3 linked regions of the Macaca mulatta genome follow. The protein of the gene in region 3 purifies or fractionates together with the protein of the main gene of each other region. This does not show direct contact. Links are inferred from orthologs where the notes say so. Each region holds a gene or a part of one and is shown on either strand. Other genes may lie near its edges.

Region 1 (4,527 bases), on a different chromosome or scaffold from region 3:
CGGTTGCCTGATTGCATTTGGGCTCAAATCCCCAATGGCCCAATTTCTTTTGGGCTCCACGGACCCTTATGTCCACCCCAGGTCCGTTCACCACTGCAGGCCACCTTACCTGTGGGGGGTTGAAACTCAAGTACAGGGCATCGCCTGCAGGGAGGCTGCGCCGCCGAGGATCCACAGGTCTGCGGGCCCAGGGGGCCTCGGCTGGGAGTGGCTCGGTCTGGCCCAGGGCGGCCAGCTGCCTTCGAGCCTCTTCAGCCTCCCGCTCCAGCAGCGCCCGGGCCTGCTCACTCTCCCGGAGCCGGGCCTCCAGGCTGCCAGCTTCGGTTGCCCGTTCTTCACCTAGCCGCCGGCAGCGCCGTAGCTCCTCCTGCAGCAGCGCATGTTGCCGCTGCAGTAATGCCAGTTCTGTGGCCTGCTTTTCAGGGGCCACAGGGGCAGCCCCAGCCCTGCCAGCCTCCCCATCCCGAGAGTTGGCTCGGCACAGCTTCTCCCGCCGCTCAGGGCCCTCAGGGAACCGGGCTTCCATCAAAGTGTCCTGCTGGGCCACAGCTGCCTGGGGGTAGAATGTGGGCAGAAGGGTTTATCAAAAACCCCTGTGGCTCTTCTACCCCTTGCCCTCACCCTCCAAGGCCCAGGTCATCGCTCCTCCAAGGCCCAGGTCATCGCTCCTGGAGAGCTTGGGTTGGGAGGGTATTTAGAAAGGCCTGTTGGGATGACCATGCTCTACCTAAACAGGCATCTCTAGCCTGGCTCCTCCCCTTCCCCATTCAAGCCCTTGCCCTACTGACCTGTAGGCCATGTAGAAGTCCATAGAGATTGACCAATCGCTGCAACGCCTCCTGAGGACAGACGGGGTGGGAACAGGGCCCCAGCTTTAGGATGGGAGAACTGCCCAAAAGTTGAACAAGGGTAGGTGTGGGGACAGTAGGATCTGGAGACATACTTGGATGTAGACACTTTCCCCACCCCACTCCAAACTGGGTTCTAACTTCTCAGCCTAAGAACACCCTCCCTTTAGTCTCCTATACTGTCAATTCCCTTCTCACCTCTTGGGGTGATCTCAGCTGATTTCCATTTCGATCCTGCAGAAATGGGCAAGAATGGGGAGTCAGCAGGCACACAAATCCTGGGTGCCTGCCCCTGACAGCTTTGTGTTGAGGATCCAGAGGCTGGCTGTCTCTCTCCCACCCTCTTGCCAAGTCCCAGAACCTCTTGAGGACCTACCCTCTGGCTGGAGTCTGAGTCGGCTCTGCACAGTTCAATGGAGCCATTGAAGGTTCTGGCCTCACCATCTGTTGAGAAGGAGAAAAGGATGGCTGAGCTCACTTCCCTGGGGCCCTGATACCACTCGATCCCTGGTACCACTCCACTTGCTTTGGCCCCTCCCACCTACTACCTTGGTCCCCTGCCCTGGCACTCACTGGCAGTGACCCCAGGACTCGTGTTACCACCGCTGTCTGGTTCCAAGGGCAGGGCTGGTTCTCGGGGTGTCAAAAGCAGTTCCACTCCTGGCCCCACCAGCAGGTCTTTCAGACCCTCCACTGTGGGGAAAGAGGAAGAGGTGAGAGTAGGAATGATACAGGACCCTGAGGGGAATGCCATTCACCCCTACATGTGGGGCACTCGGGCATCCAGGGGAATGCCCCCTGCACTGGCAGTGGGGTTTCACTCACACAACCACTGATGAAGTAAAGGGCAGTAAATGCCTATGAGGCAGCAGGAGTCCCTGCAGCATGGACGACATGGAGCAGCAGTAAGACCACACCTCCTCCCCTGCCTTTCCCAGGAACTGGCCCAGAAGAGGCACTCAGGGCTGTTCATGGTTCATGGGGTTGGCATCCCACTTGTCTGTGTTTGTCCATGTCTAGTCACATGTCCATATTCTGTGACAGTGAGTGCTTGAGCCTAGACTCTTCCCTGGGAGCTCCCTCACCCTCACGGATGGCATCCTGCAGCAGCCGCTCGCCACGAGGGGACTCAAGGGACTCGGAGCGGAAAAGGCCCCTGGGCAGGGTGGGCAGGGCCATCCCACTGCCACCATCCTCTTCGGCCTGGAAATGGGTCATCTCAGCAAACAGCCCAACCTTCTCTCGCAGCAGCTCCACCAGTGCCCGGTCCTTCTGCTGCAACTCCACTGCAGATAAGGAACAAGTGAGCCTATGAGAGGGCCTAGGGGATATGCAGGAGCGCCAGTAGAGGACAGCCCTAGGGGAAACAGGGTAGTGCGGGGCAGTTTGGCAAGACTTAATTTTGTTATTTTAGCATTTATTAAAAAAGAAAAAGGTTTCTAGGAGCCAGGCGCAGTGGCTCATGCCTGTAATCCCAGCACTTTGGGAGGCCGAGGCAGGCAGATCACAAGGTCAGGAGATCGAGACCATCCTGGCTAACACAGTGAAATCCCATCTCTACTAAAAATACAAAAAATTAGCTACTCAGGAGGCTGAGGCAGGAGAATGGCATGAACCCAGGAGGCAGAGCTTGCAGTGAGCTGAGATCTCACCACTGCACTCCAGCCTGGGCAACAGAGCGAGACTCCAGTCTCAAAAAAAAAAAAAAAAAAAAAAAAAAAAGATTGTGGCAGGGGTTGCAAGGGGTTGCAGGTTGTCCAACAGTGTTCATTCTTCCCATCTTCCTTTAATGAGAAAATGCATAGAAGTTTCATCTGGGCACACATGGCTGCTCAGTTAACAACCATGTTTTCCTGCCTGACTTGCACATGACTATATTGCTATGTGACTACATTCTGGCCAATGGATATGAGCGTCTTCCAGATCTGCTCTTAAAATAAATGGGTATAGGCCAGGCATGGTGGGTGGAGCACTTGAGGCCAGGAGTTCGAGACCAGCCTGGCCAACATGGTGAAACCCTATCTCTACTAAAAATACAAAAATTAGCCAGGAGTGGTGGTGGGTGCCTGTAATCTCAGCTCCTTGGGAAGCTGAGGCAGGAGAATCGCTTGAACCTGGGAGGTAGAGGTTGCAGTGAGCTGAGATGGCGCCACTGCACTCCACCCTGGGTGACAGAGCGAGACCCTGTCTCCAAAAAAAAAAAAAGAAAAGAAAAGAAAAAGAAAAAAAGGGTGTAAACTCTGTTCCTTTACGCTTCCTTGCTAGGTGTGATACAGGTGTGACAGTGGGAGCTGGAGCAGCCACTTCAGACGTGACATAGAGATGAAAACTTCATGTTAAAGATGGCAGAGCTGCACCACTACTCTGCACTTCCCACTTTGAACTGTTACGTTGACAGCAATAATATTCTACCTTTTTGGGTTTTTTTTTTTTTTTTTTTTGAGGCGGAGTTTTGCTCTGTCTCCCAGGCTGGAGTGCAGTGGCCGGATCTCAGCTCACTGCAAACTCCGCCTCCCGGGTTTACGCCATTCTCCTGCCTCAGCCTCCCGAGTAGCTGGGACTACAGGCGCCCGCCACCTCGCCCGGCTAGTTTTTTTTTTTGTATTTTTTAGTAGAGACGGGGTTTCACCATGTTAGCCAGGATGGTCTCGATCTCCTGACCTCGTGATCCGCCCGTCTCGGCCTCCCAAAGTGCTGGGATTACAGGCTTGAGCCACCGCGCCCGGCCTTGGGTTGTTTTTTTTTTGTTACCTAGACTGGAGTGCAGTGGTGCAATTATAGTGCATTGCAGCCTTGAACTCCTGGGCTCAAACAATCCTCCCACCTCAGCCTCCCAAGTAGCCAGGACTATGGGGTCTTGCTATGTATGTTTTGTTGCTATGTATGTTTCTCGAACTCCTGACCTCAAGAGATCCTCCCTCTCCCAAATCCTGCTGGAATTAAAGGCATGAGCTACTGCACCAGCCAATCTACTTTTTTTTTTTTTTTTTTTTTTGAGATGGAGTCTCGCTCTGTCATCCAGGCTGGAGTGCAGTAGCTCAATCTCAGCTCACTGCAAGCTCCACCTCCTGGGTTCATGCCATTCTCCTGCCTCAGCCTCCTGAGGAGCTGGGACTACAGGCACCCACCACCACGCCTGGCTAATTTTTTTGTTTTTGTATTTTTTAGTAGAGACAGGGTGTCACTATGTTATCCAGGATGGTCTCAATCTCCTGACCTTGTGATCTGCCCACCTTGGCCTCCCAAAGTGCTGGGATTACAGGCATGAGCCACTGCGCCCAGCCAATCTACTTCCTTTTTTAAGGAAGAAGATTTTTGTTGGTCTTTTTGTACAGCAGTTTAATCATACCCTAACTAATATAAGGCCTTACAGTGAAAAAGTAAGTTACTCATCCAACCTTGGTCTTCCATATTATTTTTACACACATGGTAGTATACACTTTACATTGTTTTAAACCTTGCTTTTTTCACTTAGTATGTTTCAGCTGTGGATCTATACCAGCCCTCACAGAGCCATCTCATCTTTTTAACAGTTGCATAATATTCCATTGTGTGAATGTATTATAAATTACTAAGGAGCTCCTTGTGGGTGGACTTACTCTTAATTCGCCGCAGGTAAGCCTCATCCTCTGTCTCAATCAGGGGGAAGTCCTCCCTGGATGGGCATCTGGAGGGGTAA
Region 2 (4,527 bases), on a different chromosome or scaffold from region 3:
GTAAAGATCAGCAAAACGTCAATGTGGCAAAAAATGAACTGGAGAGAGAGAAGTTTCATCCTGGGGAGAGGTATTTTTCAGCTAACAAAGGGATAAAAGGTGAAGGGCAAAGCTGCTTTCAAAACACCAAAAGAGAAGTAAATCAGAAGAGAACAAAAAGAGTCCCACACTCTAGGGTTGGGGCACAGCAAACCTCAAGAAATGGTAGTGGATAGCAGGTAGTGGCTGCGGAGATGGCAGGAGAGGTGGCTGTGGAGCCTAAACACAGAAGGCAGGTCAGAACCTAATATCTGTTTTGCTCTGGAGCCTGACACCTCACCAGGTTCCATTTTAGTAGCAGAGCAGTGGTGCCGTCAGGAGGTGTGTTTCGTCCATGGCCCCCTATTGCTTTCTGAGACCTGCCCTGGGTGCCTGGTTTCATCATTATGGTTGTATAGCAACTTGGTTTTCCTTTCCTGGGGGACAGGATGTTCCAGCCTCACCACTGCTCCTGTTCTACCAGCAGAAGGAGAATGCAGCAGTCCGACTTCTCCAGCTCAAGAACAGACATTGCTGATGTTTGTCTCTGCCATTTATTCATTCATTTCTGCTGTAAGTCATGACTTAGAAGGCTACATTTGGAAGGTGGGATGCAGAACCTTGGCCAGTCTTTAAAAACAACTGGTTAATAAATATTACATAGAATCTATATGTCTATATATTTATCTATGTTGATATAGAAAGTTATTCAGTTTCCAGTTTTCCTCTGCTTAGTGTATGCCCCCACTGCCCTTTACCAGTTGCCCACAAAATCTTAAAAAGACAGGATGCTAGAAAACAACTCCCCTGCCCTTGAATTAAAGTGCAAACAGGATTTAACTTTAGAATAACAGAAATCTCACAAATACACAGGCCATGCAGTGATGCATTCATTATAGCTCACCTCCACCCCCAGGTTCAGGAGATGCTTGACAACATTGATCTGTCCATTGGAGGCTGCAGCATGCAGAGGGGTATAACCCTTCTTATCCTTACAGGTCACTTCTGCGCCATGGTTAATGAGCAATGCCACAACATCCAGGTGGCCTTTACAAACAAAGCAGCAGAAAACATCGTTAACCTTTATAGGACAATTTGCTGATTCATTTCACCTAAATTATCACCATTAGCTTTTATTGCCACCAGTATTTTGCTGAGTTATTTGTAAAAACTGGAAAATATTCATGGAAGCTATTCAACAAATATTTATTGAGTACCTCCTATAGTCAGGCATAATGTAAATGCTGTGGGAAGAAAAAAGATGATTCATATGAGCCTTCTCTTCAAGGAGATCTAGGTGATGCCTGTTACCATGCTAATGAATAATGGTGAGGTTTTGCCAAGATATCAGTAGAGAGCCTTAAAAAATGTTGTGTTAAAATGAAAGCAATGCTTTTGAAAACAATTGCCATTCCTCACTGAAAAGTTTAACAATGACAATTCAGTTAGGAAAAACTGATAAAAGAAAAAAAATAATGAAAATGACCATAGATTACTGTTTAATCATACAAAATTACTGCTGCTTAACTGTATTTGGACCCACAAAAATGGCAATTTCATATGGCTCAACTTAAAAGTATCCTCATGAATTAGAGGCCAAACAGAAAACCCTTCTAGTTTTAGCTCCTGTTAGCATTCTTTTCTACAATATTTTACTCTGTTCCATAATTCACCATATATAGAATAAGCCTGCACAACATGGTGAAATCCTGTCTCTACTAAGAATACTCTACTAAAACCCCGTCTTTACTAAAAACTTAGTTGGGTGTGGTGGCACACGCCTGTAGTCCCAGCTGTTCAGGAGGCTGAGGCACGAGAATCATTTGAACCTGGGAGGCGGAGGCTGCAGTGAGCCGACATAGCACCACTGCACTCCTGCCTGGGCAACAGAGCAAGACCCTGTATCAAAAAATAAATAAACAAACAAACAAACAAAAAAGCATATTTGACCTTTCTTTCAGCACTGAAGACTGTTCAGTGCTTCAGGATCACTGCTCTAAATGCGGCTGAAAATTGAAGGGTAGAAGACAAGTACTGACTCCAGGACTCCGTGTGTGTGTTGGAGTCGGGGGAGGTATTGGCTTGTTTTATTAAAATTTGACTCTTTTCTCCCCAAGACTTGTATATAGAAAATTTTTTTTCAATTATTAGTGGTGCTGTCTTAAGCTATTTGCCCTGGTTTTGCCTATTATTCCTATTTGTATCCTGATAGCACACAAAACAATGACTTGATTTCTTTAGAGTCATTTATCCAAATGCTTTAACTGTGTATACATCAGCAGAGAACAAGCTTGAAACTTCGCACTCTTTGAGTCCTATCCACACTAGCTTAGTGTGTGTTCGACCTACACAGCTGTCTCCCGCAGTCACAGGCTCCAGTCCTGCAGGTGCCACCTAGTCATTTCATATGCTTCAGCCAACTCGAAAATCCATGTCAACTTTTTTTAAAAAACATGCTAACGCTTGTAAAAGTTTAAGATTCTGTTTTTTTAAGCACAGGGATTCATTCAGACCCATCTTTAGCCACATACTTTATTTCATCCCTGCCCCAACCTATTCTTTCTCCCTATAATTAATGTTAATTTTTAAAGCGATGATAAAAGGCACATATGTTTGTTACAAAGGATTCAGAAAGGCAAAAAGGTATTAAAAGAAAACCAAAATCATCCACAATCATAAATACCCAGAGACAATCAATTAAAATTTTAGCATACAATATTTTCCAGGTTTGTTATTGCACAGATTTTTAAATGAAAATGAGAATTATTTTATTTATACTGCTTTATAATATGCTTTCACTTAACATATCACAGAATCTGTGTTAATAAACACTCATGGACTCATCACTGTAGTTACTGCAAAGGGTCCCCTTGTGTGGATCTTCCAGAATTTACCAAAACAGTCTCCTGGGGATGGGTATTCAGGTTGTTTACAACTTGGTGCTGATAGAATCCTATTTTTCTAATAGCAGGATGTTCTCCAATTAGAAACACAAAGGAAATATCTTAGTTCTTCATTTCCCACAAGTCTACACTTGGAATAAACTGTGAGATCTATCATTTGTCAGTGGGATTTGCCAACAAAAGTGAAAAGGAAAAACATAGAAATGTGACCTCTCCCAAGCGGGCAGAAATGAGGGCTGCAGGCTTCAGTTTGGTTGTCAGTGGACTATCAGGATAATCCTCAGTACTTCTGGTGCCCTTCACCTATAAAATAGCCAGAGGTTTGTCTTTTCTTCCTTTCTTCTTGTTTCTTTCAAAAATATTTATAAATTTAAAAAGACCAATGGAATTTGTGTCCTTGCTTTCCTAGCCAGTGCTCTTTCTTTTTAAAACACCTTATTTTACTGCCATGACAAGTTAAAATAAGCACAATCTGTGCAGCTTTCCAATCCAGACTGAAGCACATTCAAAGAGGCCCAAGCCATGATTCATTCCTCCTCTTCTTTGTAGGATAAATAAATATCTGACAAAGCAACTGCCCGACTAGAGCACACTATGCATGCCAGTAAAATGTACCAAATCTTCATTCCATTGCAACCCAAACTTGAAAAGAAGTCAGAATGGAGAAAACCTACATGGTCAACAAGAGACCCGTGGCTTATTTAGTTAAGGTTATCTGTACTTTGCTTTCCATGCATGGAATCCTTACCCATGTATGCTGCCCAGTGCAGAGCACGCCGGTCCTTCTTGTCAAATGCATTGATATTTGCCCCTTTGGCCAAGAGTAAATTGACCATCTGAAAGATAACCAACAAGGAAATCAAGCATACATTCTGTAATGGTGAGGCCTCCTCACTGCCTGCAGGTGATCTGAGCCAAATTAACATGAAATCTAAAGGCAGGTCAGAGATCTGGAGTTCTGACAAAGTAGAAATATGATGTCAGAGCAGGAACTGTGTCATGTGTGTCAGAGGAAAAGACTGAAGTGACAGCCTACTTTTTCAATTCATTGTGGCTCTAAAGTTGAGAATGATATAGATGCTGAAGGTTTGGTGTACAAATGTTTTCATCACATTCTTTAAAATCTCAGCAAGAAGATCAGTTTCCACTTGTGGCTGAAAGTGCCTGGAGGGAGCGTTCCAATTCTGAATGATAAAAATACCCACCTCCACGTGGCCGTTCAAAGCCGCATGGTGCAAGGCTGTGCGCCCCCCTCGGTCGGAGACATTGACACTGCTCAGCAGGGGAATGATCACTTCTGCACATTTGACAGCCTTGTTGGCTGCTGCCACATGAAGAGGGGTCTGCCAGTTCTTGTCCCTTGCATTGACATCAGCTGAGTGCTTAATCAAAACCTGTACTGCTTCCTACAACAAAAGCAGAGTTTGCAGAGGTCACTGACAGACGTTCAATCAATACTTAGTGCCATAAGATGCTTCACCAAACCCTGGAACTATGGAAACAAAGGCCACCTGACCTTACAGGCTGGCTCCAGACAAGCCAGGTAATATCTGATAAAGATCAAAAGAGTGGCATAGATGAAGACAGAATCACTTTACCTTTCTTT
Region 3 (4,527 bases):
TATGTTCTTTAGGCACAGTTTAGTGATTTTTTTAAAAAATAAATACTATTGAATTTCAATTGAAGTTTTAAACTCAATAAGCAAAGGGTCAAGAACTCTGATTAGGAAAAAAGAAAAGATAACTTTACACTAACAATGTAAGCTGTTTAAAATTTCTAACACTTAACCTATCTTTTATTTAAGATTACTTTATTAAAAATACAAGGAATCTGAAAAAAGATCAATACAATTATCTTAATGTACAAAGTCATAAGCTGTAGCAGTTTTTAACTAAAATTTAAAAACACAACAAGGAGGGCAGCCCTTTAGACCAATTTATTTTATATCCATTTAAAATATCATCCAACAAAGGACAATGAAGTTTACATCTGGGACAGGTATACATAATTTGAGGCATTTGGAGTCCATCGTGCCCACTGAATAACAACTTTGCTGCTGAAATTTCTTAAAACTTACCAAACTAAAACAAAAGGCTGAATGATACAAAAAGGAGGAGTATTTAGGTGTAATCTGTCAATTGGCTTTTAAAAAAAGGAAACACATCCTGTTTCCCAGACCAGTAAATAAGCAAGAGCTACATGCAGCAGTGTGAGTATGAAGACATTTCTCAAGTCTTCTCAAATGAGTCCAGGGTGGGGATGGGATGGCGGGAAAATTGATAGAAAAACTTTGCTATAGACACCACAACAAACAATAAATTTAGATAATTTAAAATTCAAAAAAAAAAAAAGGCAAGAGGCAGCATTTCAGCAGCAAAGTGCTCAATAAAAAGTATATTGTAGAAGGTAATACAAGAAAATTGGGGTAAGAAGAGGGCAGAAAAATGGGTCAGCAGGATGGGCGAAGGCCTCAAAGGAAATACGGCGTTGTCGTTCTGGGAGGAATAACACGTTCTGAATCTGGAACTGCCCGGAATAACTTTGGTTCTCTTGTATTTACATCTTTGAAGACCATGATCGAAGCAATATTTCCACAACGATAGCAGTAATTAGGAGCAGACCATACTGTCACCAGCTTCTCATCAAACATAAATTTATAGCCTTCGTGCACTAGTTGATGTGCTCTGCAGATGAGTTTTAAGTTGTTGATATGAACAAACTGCAATTTAGAAAGACACTGTAAGTATTTAGCACTTAAAAAACAATTACCCTACATACGTAAGAAAATAATCATTCAAATACCAAATCCTATTACTACTAAATGCATCATGATTATAGAACCCACTCTATAATTATCCCCAACAATTTAATAAGTTTAGGCAAACAGAGCAATTTTGGCCTGAGTCAACTACACAGCTATAGAAACTGTATAGCTACATAGTTAGAAATTTCTGGAAGAAAAAGCATTCAATAGGTACTATGAATCAAAATTTTGTGTTTTCTGATTTAATAATAAAGATATTACTATCAGTATCTACAATTTACTGATAGTATGTTTACAGTTTACTGTAGATGTTGCAATAATTCTGAAAGAGATTATTCTTTTGCAACTTAAGGAAACAAAAGCTCAGACTAGATAAATAACTTATCTAAATTAAGATGCACTGATACAGGATCAGAATCTAGTTTTCTGACTTCATTATGATGCTGGAGCACTTCCCAATATAAAGTCATGTGTGTGTGTGTGTATTTAGTTGAAAACAGTTAAAGTTCAAAGTATTGCCTATCTTGAAGATGGTGGGGTAGCATCACAAAGCTGTTAGCATTGAGTCTCTGGACCGACTTTGATTCCAGTCTCTGCAGCAGCAGTGATCACTTAGTGAAGAGTGCTTAGGATAGTTGGCCAGGATCCTGAATATCAAAATCTTCAGCAGCAGCTCCCACCAGGACTTATCTCAGAAAACTGCTGACTGCCTGGGCCTGGAGCTCAGCAAGGTAGTGACTAAGAAATTCAGCAACTAGGAGACCTGTATGGAAATTGGCGAAAGTGTACGTGGAGAGAATGTCTACATCATTCGGAGTGGCTGTGGTGAAATCAACAATAATTTAATGGCACCTTTAATCATGATTAATACCTGCAAGATTGTTTCAGCCAGCCAGCTTACTGCAGTCATCCCATGCTTCCCTTATGCCCAGCAGGATAAGAAAGACAAGAGTCGGGTGACAATCTCAGCCAAGCTTGTTGCAAATATGATATCTGTAGCAGGTGCAGATCATATTATCACCATGGACCTACATGCTTCTCAAATTCAGGGGTTTTTTTTGACATCCCAGTGAACTACTTATATGCAGACCTAGGTGTCCTGAAGTGGATAAGGGAGAATATCTCTGAGTGGAAGAACTGCACTATTGTCTCATCTGATGCTGGTGGAGCTAAGAGAGTGAACTCCATAGAAGACAGGCTGAATGTGGACTTTGCCTTGATTCACAAAGAAGGCCAATTAAGTGGATCGCATGGTGCTTGTGGGAGATGTGAAGGATCTGGTGGCCATCCTTGTGGATGACATGGTTGACACTTGTGGCACAATCTGCCATGCAGCTGACAAACTTCTCTTAGCTGGAGTCACCAGAGTTTATGCTATCTTGACTCCAAGTATCTTCTGTGGTCCAGCTATTTCTCACATCAACAACGCATGCTTTAAAGCAGTAGTAGTCACCAATACCATACCCCAGGACGACAAGATGAAGCACCGCTCCAAAATACAGGTGATCGACATCTCTATGATCCTTGCAGAAGCCATCAGGAAAACTCACAATGAAGAATCCACTTCTTACCTATTCAGTCATGTCCCTTTATAACACAGTTACTTCTGAGGTTTTTTAAGAATAAAATCCACCCCACCCCTTGTTTTCCCTTGGTATTTGATGACAAATTCAGAAGACCCAGCTTACTCCAGTGTAGCTTTCAATATCCCACATCAGGTATATCTGAGCTTATCCGAAATGGAGAAAGACGGGTTGAGATTAACTGCTGGGACTTCCTACCTGCACTGTCTCATTCTGGCTTCCTTGATGATTTTGTGAGTCTTGCAGCTTTAACAAGAGCTCAGCTGTTACAAGATTTCAGACTTTTGAGGATAGTGGGGGTGTCTGACTGTGATTGGAGAAGCTCAGACTACCTTGCATGTGAATGCTTCAGGGTTTTCTTTGTTGAGAACAACTAGCAACAAAGCCAACCCATGTGTGAGCAGTTCTCCCCAAGGTCTATGCTAAATTATGGCAAGAGCCCTGGGCAACCCCAAACCTAGTCCCAGTGGCTGAGCACCCTGTAAGGCAGGAACAGGCAGTTGGACTTGAGCAGCCATGGGGTGGGGGGTGGGGGTAGTGGAGGGGGGAAGCAGCACAGTGCAGCAAATGTTTCTTGGGAGGAAGAAGCCTGATTCATCATCATCTGCTTGACTACGTAGCTTGGATTCTCTTTTGTACCTATTCCTTTGATTTGGCTTTACTTTCATCCATCTTGATCCTTTCCTGGCCAAATATCCGCTTGGGCCCAAAGGAACACGGCACCATAGTCCTCTGGAAAGCAAATGTGCTTCCTGCTATGTAATCGCTAACATTCACATTACATGATTTGCTGTAGCTTGATCTTCCTTAGCCTACTACCACTGTGGCAGTAGGTTTTAGGTGGTCTCATAGTGCCTTTTGATTAATTTAAGTATTTAATTGCCATCTTCCTTCTTTGGATCTACTTGGCATTTCAAATGAACAGAGATTTCTGTTTTAAAAAAAAAAAAAAAAAAGGCCAGGCGTGGTGGCTTACGCCTGTAATCCCAGCACTTTGGGAGGCTGAGGCAGGCGGATCACGAGATCAAGAGATCGACACCATCCTGGCTAACACAGTGAAACCCCATCTCTACTAAAAATATAAGCGATTAGCCAGGTGGCGGGCGCCTGTAGTCCCAGCTACTCAAGAGGTTGAGGCAGGAGAATGGCATGAACCTGGGAGGCAGAGCTGGCAGTGAGCCAAGACCAGTCACTGCACTCCAATCTGGGTGACAGAGCAAGACTCCGCCTCAAAAAAAAAAAAAAAAAAAAAAAACAGATTGACATAGGCCAGGTGCGATGGCTCATGCCTGTAATCCCAGCACTTTGGGAAACCAAGGTGGGCAGATCACCTGAGGTCAGGACTTCAAGACCAGACTGACCAACATGGTGAAACCCCGTCTCTACTAAAAATACTAAATTAGCCAGGCGTGTTGGTGCACACCTGTAATTCCAGCTACTCAGAAGGCTGAGGCAGGAGAATTGCTTGAACCCAGGAGGCAGAGGTTGCAGTGAGCCGAGATTGCGCCACTGCACTCCAGCCTGGGCAATATGAGTGAAACTCTGTCTCAAAAAAAAAAAAAGATTGATGTTATTGGCTCTTGTAGAGGAAACTAATAAAGTGTCTGTATCTGTGTGATTTGAGGTCTTAAAAAAAAAAAAAAAAAAAAAAGTACTGCCTAGTTTGGTCTTGACATTTTGTTACTTAATTACAGTATTTGAAAGGAAGGGGGCCGGCCGGGCACAGTGGCTCACACCTGTAATACCAGCTCTTCGGGAGACTGAGGTGAGTGGATCACCTGAGGTCAGGAGTTCAAGACCA

What was found. Proteins that work in one complex are often made in the same cells at the same time.
Region 1: the proteins of PPP6C (region 3) and ARHGEF2 purify together in Homo sapiens (affinity purification with mass spectrometry; 4 studies listed by BioGRID and IntAct, with this or other methods). This does not show direct contact. The link is inferred for Macaca mulatta from reciprocal best matches to the Homo sapiens genes PPP6C and ARHGEF2.
Region 2: the proteins of PPP6C (region 3) and ANKRD44 purify together in Homo sapiens (affinity purification with mass spectrometry; 5 studies listed by BioGRID and IntAct, counting the BioPlex papers as one, with this or other methods). This does not show direct contact. The link is inferred for Macaca mulatta from reciprocal best matches to the Homo sapiens genes PPP6C and ANKRD44.

Annotation. Positions count from the first base shown.
Region 1 is NC_133406.1:110,998,883-111,003,409, reverse strand, and holds part of ARHGEF2 (rho guanine nucleotide exchange factor 2), read right to left. Parts: intron 4,516-4,527; coding exon 4,448-4,515; intron 2,135-4,447; coding exon 1,934-2,134; intron 1,542-1,933; coding exon 1,422-1,541; intron 1,293-1,421; coding exon 1,225-1,292; intron 1,083-1,224; coding exon 1,047-1,082; intron 840-1,046; coding exon 789-839; intron 554-788; coding exon 110-553; intron 1-109. UniProt on the Homo sapiens protein: Activates Rho-GTPases by promoting the exchange of GDP for GTP.
Region 2 is NC_133417.1:102,059,672-102,064,198, forward strand, and holds part of ANKRD44 (serine/threonine-protein phosphatase 6 regulatory ankyrin repeat subunit B), read right to left. Parts: intron 4,328-4,527; coding exon 4,127-4,327; intron 3,758-4,126; coding exon 3,670-3,757; intron 1,066-3,669; coding exon 923-1,065; intron 1-922. UniProt on the Homo sapiens protein: Putative regulatory subunit of protein phosphatase 6 (PP6) that may be involved in the recognition of phosphoprotein substrates.
Region 3 is NC_133420.1:22,618,218-22,622,744, reverse strand, and holds part of PPP6C (serine/threonine-protein phosphatase 6 catalytic subunit), read right to left. Parts: intron 2,739-4,527; exon of another isoform or gene 1,989-2,738; intron 1,099-1,988; coding exon 850-1,098; 3' UTR 1-849.